Linked DNA regions of Canis lupus familiaris. The protein of the gene in region 1 interacts with the protein of each later gene in a pairwise test. Links are inferred from orthologs where the notes say so. Each region holds a gene or a part of one and is shown in the gene's direction. Other genes may lie near its edges.

Evidence for each region.
Region 2: the proteins of POC5 (region 1) and CETN3 interact in binary tests that used the Homo sapiens proteins (3 or more experiments, as listed by UniProt). The link is inferred for Canis lupus familiaris from reciprocal best matches to the Homo sapiens genes POC5 and CETN3.
Region 3: the proteins of POC5 (region 1) and CETN2 interact in binary tests that used the Homo sapiens proteins (3 or more experiments, as listed by UniProt). The link is inferred for Canis lupus familiaris from reciprocal best matches to the Homo sapiens genes POC5 and CETN2.

The regions. Positions count from the first base shown.
Region 1 is NC_049224.1:30,951,200-30,954,685, forward strand, and holds the end of POC5 (centrosomal protein POC5), read left to right. Parts: intron 1-438; coding exon of another isoform or gene 439-453; exon of another isoform or gene 454-1,466; intron 1,467-1,493; coding exon of another isoform or gene 1,494-1,610; exon of another isoform or gene 1,611-1,638; intron 1,639-2,410; coding exon 2,411-2,554; 3' UTR 2,555-2,985; downstream 2,986-3,486. UniProt on the Homo sapiens protein: Essential for the assembly of the distal half of centrioles, required for centriole elongation. Acts as a negative regulator of centriole elongation.
Region 2 is NC_049224.1:18,661,821-18,666,016, forward strand, and holds the start of CETN3 (centrin-3), read left to right. Parts: upstream 1-1,335; 5' UTR 1,336-1,475; coding exon 1,476-1,492; intron 1,493-3,712; coding exon 3,713-3,848; intron 3,849-4,196. UniProt on the Homo sapiens protein: Plays a fundamental role in microtubule-organizing center structure and function. As a component of the TREX-2 complex, involved in the export of mRNAs to the cytoplasm through the nuclear pores.
Region 3 is NC_049260.1:122,023,754-122,027,938, reverse strand, and holds the start of CETN2 (centrin-2), read left to right. Parts: upstream 1-1,324; 5' UTR 1,325-1,364; coding exon 1,365-1,463; intron 1,464-2,380; coding exon 2,381-2,539; intron 2,540-2,850; coding exon 2,851-2,979; intron 2,980-4,185. UniProt on the Homo sapiens protein: Plays a fundamental role in microtubule organizing center structure and function. Required for centriole duplication and correct spindle formation. Has a role in regulating cytokinesis and genome stability via cooperation with CALM1 and CCP110.

The DNA.
Region 1 (3,486 bases):
AAGTAAAAGATTTGAGCTTCCATTTCCTCTTGCGTAAAATGGGAATGTTAAGAGTACTTCGCTCCTACAGTTATTTTCTGGATTCAGGATTAAATGAGATAATGTAAAAATTGAATGAGATATAGATTTTTTTAAAAGGTATTTTATAAATTGTAACATCATAAGCATATTGAACTTGAAAATTACTAGAGTAAGGTACATGGGATACTGCTGTATTATTTCTTAACAGTGCATATGAATCAACAATTTTCTCAAAAAGTTTTTTTTTTGAAAGTTATAAGATCACATCCTTAAAGAGAAACAAGAATTGATTTTAAAAGAGAATGCTCCGTACATAAATTTTCAATGTTAGACAACATTCCTGTCTACTTACTGTGTCAAAATATTAGCAAAAATATATGTGAAATGATTTTGCATCCTTTTCTTTCTGGGCACTAGATGGTTGCTAGATGATTAAGAGAAGCTGGAGAGATTGTTTAAACTTAGCCTCCGGTAAAGAATGGCCATAGGAAAGGAAAGTGGAAGACGGACACAGAGGCACCAAGTCCAGATGGATATGGAAGGTGGAGGAGTATCAGCCTTCAGAGGTTGCAGAGACTCTGAAGTCCTTAGGTGACTTCTCGACATATGTTTGAATATGTGAGATTAGTTATCAGAAATAAGAAATGAACTAATTTCTATTTTTGCCAGCACATATGTGTATAGAGAAGGGACTATCCATTTATAAGATAATGAAGGCATAAAGAGACCATACATATATGCTTACTTTTAATTTAGGCAGCCTTTTGTTTTTGTACTAATGATAGGAATTTGTATTCTACGAGGAAAAAAAACCAAAGAAATAAAAGACAACTCCTCTGAGGCTTCCCTCCCCAGCTGCCCTTTGCTGATTGTCTATAACACTTCTCCAGCAACTGGTTGTGAACAAGACAGCCGTCAACTGCTTCCGTTATTCCCTAAGTGGGACTATATGACAGACAGCTAGAGCAGTCCTCTGTACTCTCCCTCTATCCCCAGAATTGGGAGCTGTAACTACTGGAAACAGCTGTTCCTAACAAACCATGGATTTCTGACACATTAGCCCCATCTGCTGGATAATTGCTTGTTCCCTGTGCTCCCTCATTCTAGGTCATATTTTTGTAGATCATGAAAGCAGTGGTAGGGTGAATCTGTTTCTCCATTTCCTGTAGCCCAGGTCCCCAAGGAGAAATCGCTCTCTGAACAGGGTCGGATTAGGTGGTTGGCAACTAGTTTCTTACTAGTTGGAAGATCTCCCCACCTGTAATGCTTATCCAGTTACTTACGTACAGTGAAATAGTTCTGTAAAATACCTTACAGTCAGGAAATTATTTTTCTGTTTCTTTAAGGAGGAACTCTTAAAGCGGAATGTCACAAACAGCTTTAAGAGTTTTCATTCATTATTTTTTTAAGAAAAGGTTTTTTTAAAATACATAGTGAATGTTGTGGTCAGATATATATCATTTTACTTCAAGTACTTTAAAGAGGACTCCTCTAAGTGGAAGACTCTACTAGGAATGTGCCTGCACCACTCAGTGCCGTGGCCTGCCGACTGGATAATGAGTTCCACTGCTGCCTACTGGAAGTTGTAGCCCCAGAGTATAGGGAATCCTTGTACTGGTACGTCTCATGCGTGTGTATGCATGTAATGTGTACTTAGAAAATCTGTACTTGCACATATTACATGTGTAGGTGAAACACATGTGTAGGTTGTACCCTGACTGAGTCTTCGATGCTCACGTCCCAGATGTTCCCCAGAGCTCTGACGTGGCATGGGTATCCTCCTCTCAGTGTGTGTCCCTAGCATCCAGTTATTTGTATAGAAAGTTGTAATCCATGCTGAGGAGCACCAGGCTGCTGGAAATACCTTCGCTTGTATGATCATAAAAGGTTTAGTCAGCTCCCAGGTGAGCCAGGCTGAGGTAGGAGACATGTGCTCTTTTCTGAAGCAAGGACCAGGCAGGATTCCTCAGAGCTTCCCCCTTGTTCCCTGAGGTTGAACCCCGTGTGTTCACAGATACAGGGAGGAGAAAACTGACCAGAATGGAGGGAGGGCTTGGGGCTGACCCTTCTTCCAGACACCATAAAGTCCCTTTCTGTACTTGGCCTCTGTGGACATTTCAGGATTCCCCTGGAATCCTCTCTGTGGAGTGACTCCCACGGCTCCTTATGTGACCCTCTGCAAGGTAGGTCTATACTGAGTATTGAGCATGAGTCTAACTTACGGATTAAGGACCACAGCTTAATTGTTCTCATGGCTGCCTCCCTAGCTTACTGCCTCTGTCTACTGGATGCTTAACAAATGTTTGTTTGGTTAAATTATATATAATGAAATGGCACTTAATGTGTGTAATCTTACGGGATTGTTAAAGTAGACTTTTAACTTTTTCAGCAAACCATTCCTCAAGCTGCTGCAGCAAAATATCCCCGGACGATTCATCCTGAAAGTAGTACCTCAGCTTCTCGGTCCCTCGGAACCAGGTCAACTCACACCCAGTCTCTCACAAGCATTCACTCCATAAAAGTGGTTGACTAAAATGAATATGCACATTGAGATCTTTTAATTCTTCTGGTTTTACCAAGGATTTGAAGTCTCTAGCTTTTAAAATTTCATCTTCTTAGAACACCATGGATACATCATGTTCATCTTTTCAAAATTACAAGAGACTCTTTCAAGTCATACCATCCTTTGTAACTATATGTAGGCTTATTTTAATGTTATTTTTTAATTTAAGCAATTAAGTAAAACTTTTTTAAAAAGCGACTTAATTTGTTTAATAAGTTCAGCCTGTCCCTGATTATACCATAAAAGTGTATAAATCCTGTTTTCTCAATGTTATTTCCAAAAGGCTAAATCATTTCCAGTGTTATTAAATAAATTTTGAGAACTTTATTAAAAAAATTATTTTAAACAGATTTAATTAAGGTATTTTTATTTTAAAAATAAAGAGTAATAATGATACTGTATCACAAAGTCTTTGTGATTATTATTAATATATTAATATTAGTTTTCATTTTCCTAAGACTGTTAAAATTAAAAATGAGAATTGGTGAGACCTATGAATAATGTTAATGTTAAATGGGGGTGGGTATAGCACTGGGCAACTCAGCAAACCTTCTGGGCCTGGCAGAGACTTTTCAGAGGCTGGCCAATAGGAGGAAGCCAGCTGGGTAAAAGTGACTGAGGAAAGCAGGACCAGGCTTCTCATGGTTTTATTGCTAGCTGACTGGGTTATCTTGGGCCAAACATTTAATTTCATGAATAATAGGATCCCATCTGTGAAACAGTGACATCTACCTTCCCCTCCTATCTCACCCAGTACTCTGGGTTACATAAAAACAAATTCTAAAGGATTTATCCGGAGCCTCAATTTTCATATCTTTAGCAGAACTAGATGGACTTAATTAGAAGCCTCTTTGACTTTGAACGTGATCTATGCTCTAACTTTATTATAGGAAATAGTTTTT
Region 2 (4,196 bases), about 12 Mb from region 1:
TTATATAATAAAAATATATACCTAAACACATATATAAATATATACATAAACATATATATATATATTTATTTATTTATGATAGTCACACACAGAGAGAGGCAGAGACATAGGCAGAGGGAGAAGCAGGCTCCATGCACCGGGAGCCCGACATGGGATTCGATCCCGGGTCTCCAGGATCGTGCCCTGGGCCAAAGGCAGGCGCCAAACCGCTGCGCCACCCAGGGATCCCAACATAAACATGTGTATTAAATATATAAACATGTTTATACGTATAAACATATTTATATATAAACATATATAAAAACATATATAAACATATATATGTTGAGGATATATATATATATATATATATATCCTTTATACATAGCCCATAGTGTTTATACATCTTCCCCCTTACCCTGCCTCAACGCCATATTCAGGCTATTTCACTCCTTTATAAGGGTTACAACTTAGTTCAGTGATTTGTGGGTTTTCACAGCAAGATCCCACCCAACGCAACAAATATTCATTGAGCGCCTGTGCATCAGGCACCGTATCAGGCACTGGGATCCGCGTTAAATGAAAGATACCATCCTGCACTTGAAGAAAGCCTAGTAGGAGTGATGAACAAGTAAACAAATTACCCAGGTGAGCTTCAAGAACTTAGTTTGGAGCTTAAGATAATATAACGTGTATAAGCAGCTTCCAACCCTGTAAAACAAAGGATGCAAGAGAACAGATCCCTTCAGGGAGGGAGAAGGGAGCTAAGGTACCGTCAAGTGCCGCTTTACCGTAAGTAGCCTAATAATCCAACCCATTAGATATACAATCTATAAGCGACAGCACCTGCCTTAAAAGCACGTGGGATTGTAAGGGGGAAAAAAATGCAAATTCATACCTACTAAAATCAGAATTGGGAGGACGGGACGTTTAAATCTGCGTTTTAAACAAACTCCCCATGGACTCAGGCCACCCAAGGTTTTAGAACACAGCGCAGTCAAATTCGGCAGGCCTCATTCCCCAGCCGCTCCCTCCCTTCGGCTAAGGAGGCTGGCCCCGCGGCGCGCCTCTCCTCCCTCCCTCCCTTCTCCCCCGGAGCCGTCCATCTCGTCGGCGGTCACCCAGCGGGAGGCAAGGTGCAGCCACCTACCGCCCAAACTACCACGCAGACACCTGGACCCTCGCTCCGCAAAGGATTCCGGGAAACCTCAACAAGCCAATAAAGGGCGGGGAGGAGGGGCAGAAGAAGAGGGACGAGCGGCTTCTTTGATTGACGCGAAGCACGCCCAATGAGAGCAGAGGACCAGGGACGCTTCCGCCTCAATGGGCGGGCTGTTAGCAACGTCAACCAATCCGACTCCGAAGCGTCTACCTTGTGGGAGGTCCTTGAGGCCGCTGAGGTCGTTGGTGTCTGTTGAACGGCTTGTGGAAGTCGTGCTGCCTTGGGCAGGGCGTTAAAGTCGTTCTCGAGGGGAACGTCTCTGTCCGAAGAGAAAATGAGTTTAGCTCTGAGGTCGGTAATGAGGAGGCCGCAATGCCCTCCACACCTCGCAGCGGGCCCCAGGGCTGGCGTGTGTAGAAGGGAGGTAGCTGGGCCGAGGCGAGCTGGAAGGGGATGCATTTTGGGATGAGGGCGAGGAGCCTCGGCCAGCCTTCCTGGCTCGGATTCCTCACCCTGGGGGCCCTGGTGCTCCGCAGGTGAGGAGTCCCGTGCATTTGTGCCGAGGTAGTTAGCGTCTGTATCAGCGCGTCGGGCTTTGCACCACCGAGGAGATGGGTTTCTAGTTGGGAGGAGGGAGTGAAATATCGCGATGCTTCTTCTCGCGGTGTTTCTCCGCGAAGTCAGGCCGGGGAGCCTCCCTGGGTTCAGCTCCGCCCTCCGGGTCTCCGGCCCCTGCAGCCCCTGCAGCCCCTGCAGCCCCTGCAGCCCCTGCAGCCCCTGCAGCCCCTGCAGCCCCTGCAGCCCCTGCAGCCCCTGCAGCCCCTGCAGCCGTCAGACCGAGCTATAAATTTTGGAAAGAGCTTTAAACTCTTCCTTGCTCTTATCCTGGGGCCCTGCTTTAAGATATAACGGGCGACCCATATAAATGACTTTAATTGATTTCTCAAAAAAAAATTTTTTTTTAGTTTTGTTTACCTTTCATTGACTTCCAATCTCTAACCCCGTTCGTTGCCCCCAGCAGCAGCAGCACCTAGATGTTTTTACACGTTGCACCTTAAAAAAAAAAAAAAAAAAAAAAAAAAAAAAGGTGGTTACGCCTTTCTGAACAGGTGCGGCTTTGGGTTGGGAGATGATGGTGGCAGCCCTGCCTCGACCCCGTGGCGGGTCCTGCTGTTGACCTGGCCGTCCAGAGAAGGTGACCGCGGGGACTGGGGTCCCTGTTCGCGCGAAGTCAGGTGTCTTGTGAAAGGTTGTCCCCCCGCTCTGTTTATTACTATAGGTCTCCTGGTCATCTTCTGATCGTCTGTCTCTTGACGGTTTTGTGGTAGGTTTTTAGAAAGCAAAACACAGGCAAATAGGTAAGGTGTTTTTATTAAATAAAATCAACTAGGCTTTACATTTCAAAGTGTTAGGAAATTGGTTTCAAACTTCTTGTACGGATGTTGCGGCACCATTCGAAATTTTGGAACACTAAGATGAGTATCTCTTAAGACATACCTGGCTTTTTTTTTTTTTTTTCCTTTTTTTTTTAACATTTATTTATTCTTGAGAGTTAGAGAGGCAGAGACACAGGCAGATGGAGAAGCAAGCTCCAATGCAGGGAGCCCGGTGCAGGGACTCGATCCCGGGACCCCAGGGTCACGCCCTGGACTGAAGGCAGGTGCTCAACCGCTGGGCCACCCAGGGATCCCCATTTCTGCCTTTTTAAATAAAATCTACTTTCAAGAAATTTCCAGGATTTAGGAGAAGCTATATCTAAATTTACAAGTGAAATTTAGAAAACCATGGACTCTTCACTATGGGGTGAGCAAGGCTTTGACTCATGGAAGAAAAATTTCATTTTTCTCTCAAATAATTCCTTTTAAGAAATTTAAAAAATATAGAAAATTAGCACAAACATTCTTGTTTTGGCTTTTAATTTTCATGGTATATTTAGACTTCAGTATTTCGGTTGATTTGTTAATATCAATGGAAGAAATTATAAATAAAGCCCCAAACTTAGCAATGTGTACTGTAAATCACTTTGAACCCACAATGCCACAAACTTTGTAAGTTAATTGTTAAGTGATACGCTTTTTTTGGTAGTAATTTTGATAACTTATAAATGCTCTCAAAAGTAAGCCAAATATGCAATGATCCTCAATTATGAATTTTCCTTTGATTAGTTTAATACTATGTTGTAGAGTAATGTTAATAAGTAGGAGTGCTTTAGTTTTGTTGCGATTTCTGTGATGAATAATTTTTTTATTCACAGTTATTTCTTCCACATTAATATCAGAATAAATACAAAGCCAGAAGGAAAGAAAGTTAGGTCCTTTTTTTCTTATAATAACATGTAACACTTTTCAGTTTTGGAAAGTGCAGATTTATAGCAGCTTAGACTATGGATTGAGCAAGGCTTTGACTCATGGGAAGAAAAATTTCATTTTTCTCTCAAATAATTCCTTTTTAGAAATTAAAAAAATTCTTCCTTGTTTAATTTCTTTGTCGCATTTTGAAATTTTAATTATCTAGATGTGTAGGAGAATAGAATTAAAGTAGACTGAATAGACTTTTCTTCTCATTTCATAGAAATGAGCTTGTAGTAGACAAAACAAAGAGAAAAAAAAGAAGAGAACTCTCTGAAGAACAGAAACAAGAAATTAAAGATGCTTTTGAACTGTTTGACACAGACAAAGATGAAGCAATAGATTATCATGAACTAAAGGTAATAATGTACTTTAAAATGTATATTTTTCTGTTAAAATTGTTTGCATTTTCTATAGTTGGCTAAAATAACCCATCTAAAGTATTTTAACTAAACTGGTTGTGGAAATATGAAACCATTTGAGATGTTCACAGTTAAGTGCTATAATAAAATTAAATACTAGCATCTTTTTAGACTTTCCTTTTCACACTGTGAAGCGAATAGTATTTTAAATATAAAAGTATATTACTATGGTAGGGCCTTATTTTCACTCATGTAATAAAAAGATTTCAAACTATAGGTTTTAAACAGTTCTTACTGTATTTTTGCCACTGCTGGGTTTTTTTTTTTTTCATTTGTGTATGACTC
Region 3 (4,185 bases), on another chromosome or scaffold:
TGCTGGCAAGGATGTGGAGAAAGGGGAACCGTCTCCCGGTGTTGGTGCGAATGCAACCTGTGCAGCCACTGCGTAAAACAGTATGGAGGTTCGTCAAAAAATTGAAAATAGAACTACTCTCATGATCTAGTAATTGCACTACTGTTACTCAAAGAACACAAATACAAATTCAAAGGGATACATGCACACTGATGTTTGTAGCAGCATTGTTCATGATAGCTAAGATATGCAAGCAGCCCAAGTGTCCATCAACAGATGAGTGGATAAAGGAGATGTGGGGTGTGTGTGTATGTGTGTGCGTGTGTGGGGAATACCATCCAGCCATAAAAAATGAAACCTTGCCATTTGCATTGACATGGATGGGGCTAGAGAATATTATGGCAAGTGAAATGTCAGAGAAAGACAAATACCATATGATTTCATTCATATGTAGAATTTAAGAAACAAAATAAATGAACATGGGGGGGGGGGTGAAGAGAGGCCAACCAAGAAACAGACTCTTAACTACAGAGAACACACTGATGGTGACCAGAGGGGAGGTGGGGGGGGGAATACGTTACATTGGTGATGGGAAATAAAGACTGCACTTATCATGATTAAAGAAAACAAAAGAAATTTAACAGAGTTTTATAAAAGAACAGTCTCCAGGCACCCCTCACACTTTCAAAACTCTTGTGTGACTTTGCTCAGTGTCTCCGCCCGAGTGGGTGTCAAAAAGTACATTTTGATGACCTCTCCCCTCATGCTCAGTCATATCTGTTTCACTCCCTCAAAACTCCCCCTCAAAGGGAGAGCCTCAGCGGGATTCGGTTTCTAAGTCGCAGCTGTCCACACCTCCTCGACACTCCCATTCCCTTCTCTGGCTCTGCTGTCCCTTGAGCACAGTCTCTGCTCTGACCCTCAAGGTCACGGTCTTCTCTGGCCCCTCTTTCCAAATTCAGTCTTAAGCCAGACCAGAAAGCCCCCAACCGGAAGGCCCCACCCAGCCCCCTACCCTCCCACCCAGTAGCGGATAGAAGGCAGCCTCCGAGGGTGAGGTCGTGACCCTTACCCGTCCGTAGGCGACCCCCCGGCCAGCCTCCGCGCGCCCTCAGCTTGCACCCAAAGGCCTCGGGCCGCTGGCGGTCACCCTTTTCTCCCCACCAGCATGAGCCGAGGATCGGCCGAGATGCCTCCGCCAAGGGGATTGGCTCAGCTCGGCGCCGGCTCAGCCAATCGGCGCTCACAATGTGATCCTGTCCAATGAGGCCAGGCCTCGGCTGTGAAAGCACAGCCCCCTTGCCCTGGGCCTGGCCTTTGTCCGCTTAGCCCCACCCACCACGGCTCCCCGCCAATGGGGAGCAGCGGCGGCGAGCGGGCTGCCAATGGGGAGCGGAGCCGCGCGCGCGGGGCGGTGGGAAAGGCGCCGAGTCAGTGTGTACGTCGGTTGCCGTAACAACGGTCCGCGGAGTCCATCGGCAATGGTGAGTGGGGGCCGCCCTTTGGTGCCCCGCGGCCAGGGGCTGAGCCCTTCTCAGGCTTCGTGTGGCCCTGCCGTCGCTCCCGCGCCGCTCTCGGCTTTGGAGTGCCCCTACTTCCTCTCGGCTAGTTCCCGGAAGGGTAGGGTAGAGACGTCGGCCGCCACCTGGGCCTGCGGTCCTGCGCCGCCTCCCCTTCGTTCAGTCTGCGCCCACCCATCCCTCGGGCGCGCGTGGCCTTCCCCTGCCAGCCCCCGCGTGACTGCCCCTGGTCAAAGAATACTCGGGTTACCCGCAGGCTCTGACCTCTCAGACCCTGACCTCCTGGTCGCTTCGTGCTACCAAAGTTTACCCACAGACCTGGGAGGAGGTTTATTATGTTTGATTGTTAACGTGCATTCTGAATAAATACAGGGATCTTTCGGGAGACGTTTTGATCTAATTAAAGTAGGCACAGACCTGCCTAGTGGATGGAATTTTATTATACACCTTAGCAAAGTAGTAATATTGGGCCAAATGTAGAAGTAATCACAAAGTTGGAGTACAGAGAGGAGGAATACTGCGAGCCAATGTTGTAAGGGCTTTTCTTGAATTAGGATCGCCAAATTCAAGGACAGCTGATCATCTGTACAGTTATCCACAGTCAGCTCCTTGGCTGGATCTCTTTGGGGATGATTTTCAATAAGAGATGTGCAAAGGAACACGGGATCTCCTTGCTTCTACAAAGAATAGGAAAAAAGAAGGAGGGATAGCGGTGCACGGAAAGATTGTTGTTTCAAGTAAAGCCCTGTTATCTCTCCTATTAAGCAAAGCTGTGGAATTGCTTGGTGTAAATATTTTATGTAAATATTTGTAACTATTTTATGTAAAATATGGATTGCATCACTTAATATCGTACTTCTGTGTTTGTAAAACACCTAAAGGCCTCTAACTTTAAGAAGGCAAGCATGGCATCATCTGCCCAACGAAAAAGGATGAGTCCTAAGCCGGAGCTGACTGAAGAGCAGAAACAGGAAATCCGGGAAGCTTTTGATCTCTTTGATGCTGATGGAACTGGGACCATAGACGTAAAGGAACTTAAGGCAAGCCCTTTACATTCCCACTGTACTGCCTTCCTTTCCTCTACTTCTTTCTCTTCTTTCCTTGTCACTGCTCTACCCCTTTTGCCCTCTTTTCCCTGCAAAAAGTTTTCCTGTTTTTCTCTTCTCCTGTCTTTATTTACCTCAAGTGTTATAAAATAAAATTGAGCACAAATATCAATCTGCATAACGCTATAGTGTTTCCCAGTCATTTTAACATGATTGTGTCAGATGCTGGCCTCATGCTCTCACTGTCATTTTTGTTCCTGCCAGGTTTTGATGTGCATATTGACATGATCCTGTTTTCATTGTAGGTGGCAATGAGGGCACTGGGCTTTGAACCCAAAAAAGAAGAGATCAAAAAAATGATAAGTGAAATCGATAAGGAAGGGACAGGAAAAATGAACTTTAGTGACTTCTTGACTGTGATGACTCAGAAAATGGTAAGTTACTAGGATAATCAGCCTATTTTCCACCCATATTGGTGAACAAATTTGAATCTAGATATAAAAATGTCTTCACTGAAGAAAGGTTAATACCAACTGGAGGGTTCTGCTGAAAAAGGGCAGTACTTATGACTGACAGGATGCTTAGGTTCTATCTGGCTCTCTTCAAGGCCACAGAATCACAGGAAAAGTCAGTTTACCCTTTGAGTAAGAGAACTGCTGTCACTCTTTTGTGATTATTTTTTTCCAACTGATGTGTTAACGTGCTGACCACAAGCAGTAAAACCTGTAAACACCAGCAATATTGCACTGCCTGACAATATGAAATGCCTATACTTTAAAGGTCAAAATTCTTTTCTCTCTCGTTTCTGATTCTGGGCGGCTCTAGCCTGAGGGCGGGTGACTTCTGACAGCTGTGTTTTCCACTACACTGGGAATTTGGCCTTTCAGCACTTTCATTTTTTTTCTTTTTTTCTGATTTTATTTTTTATTTTTTTATTTTTATTTTTTGGAGTTCGATTTGCCAACATATAGTATAACACCCAGTGCTCATCCCGCCAAGTGCCCCTCTCAGTGCCCATCACCCAGTCACCCCAACCCCCCGCCTACCGCCCCTTCCACTACCCCTGTTCATTTCCCAGAATTAGGTGTCTCTCATGTTTTGTCACCCTCACTGATATTTTCACTCATTTTCTCTCCTTTCCCTTTATTCCCTTTTGTTAACTTTTATATTCCCCAAGTGAATGAGACCATATAATGTTTGTCCTTTTCCAATTGACTTACTTCACTCAGCATAATACCCTCCAGTTCCATCCATGTTGAAGCAAATAGTGGGTATTTGTCGTTTCTAACGGCTGAGGAATATTCCATTGTATACATAGACCACATCTTGTCTATCCATCCATCTTTCGATGGATACCGAGGCTCCTTCCACAGTTTGGCTATTGTGGGCATTGCTGCTGTAAACATCGGGGTGCAGGTGTCCCAGCGTTTCACTGCATCCTTTCAGCACTTTCAAGGTTGAAGTCACCCATTCCCTAGTGCCTCACTTGTCCCCATTTTATTTTTTAAAATTTTATTTATTTATTCATGAGACACACACACACACACACACACACACACACACACACACAGAGGCAGAGACACAGAGGGAGAAGCAGGCTCCATGCAGGATCAGGCCCTGGGCTGAAGGCGGCACTAAAC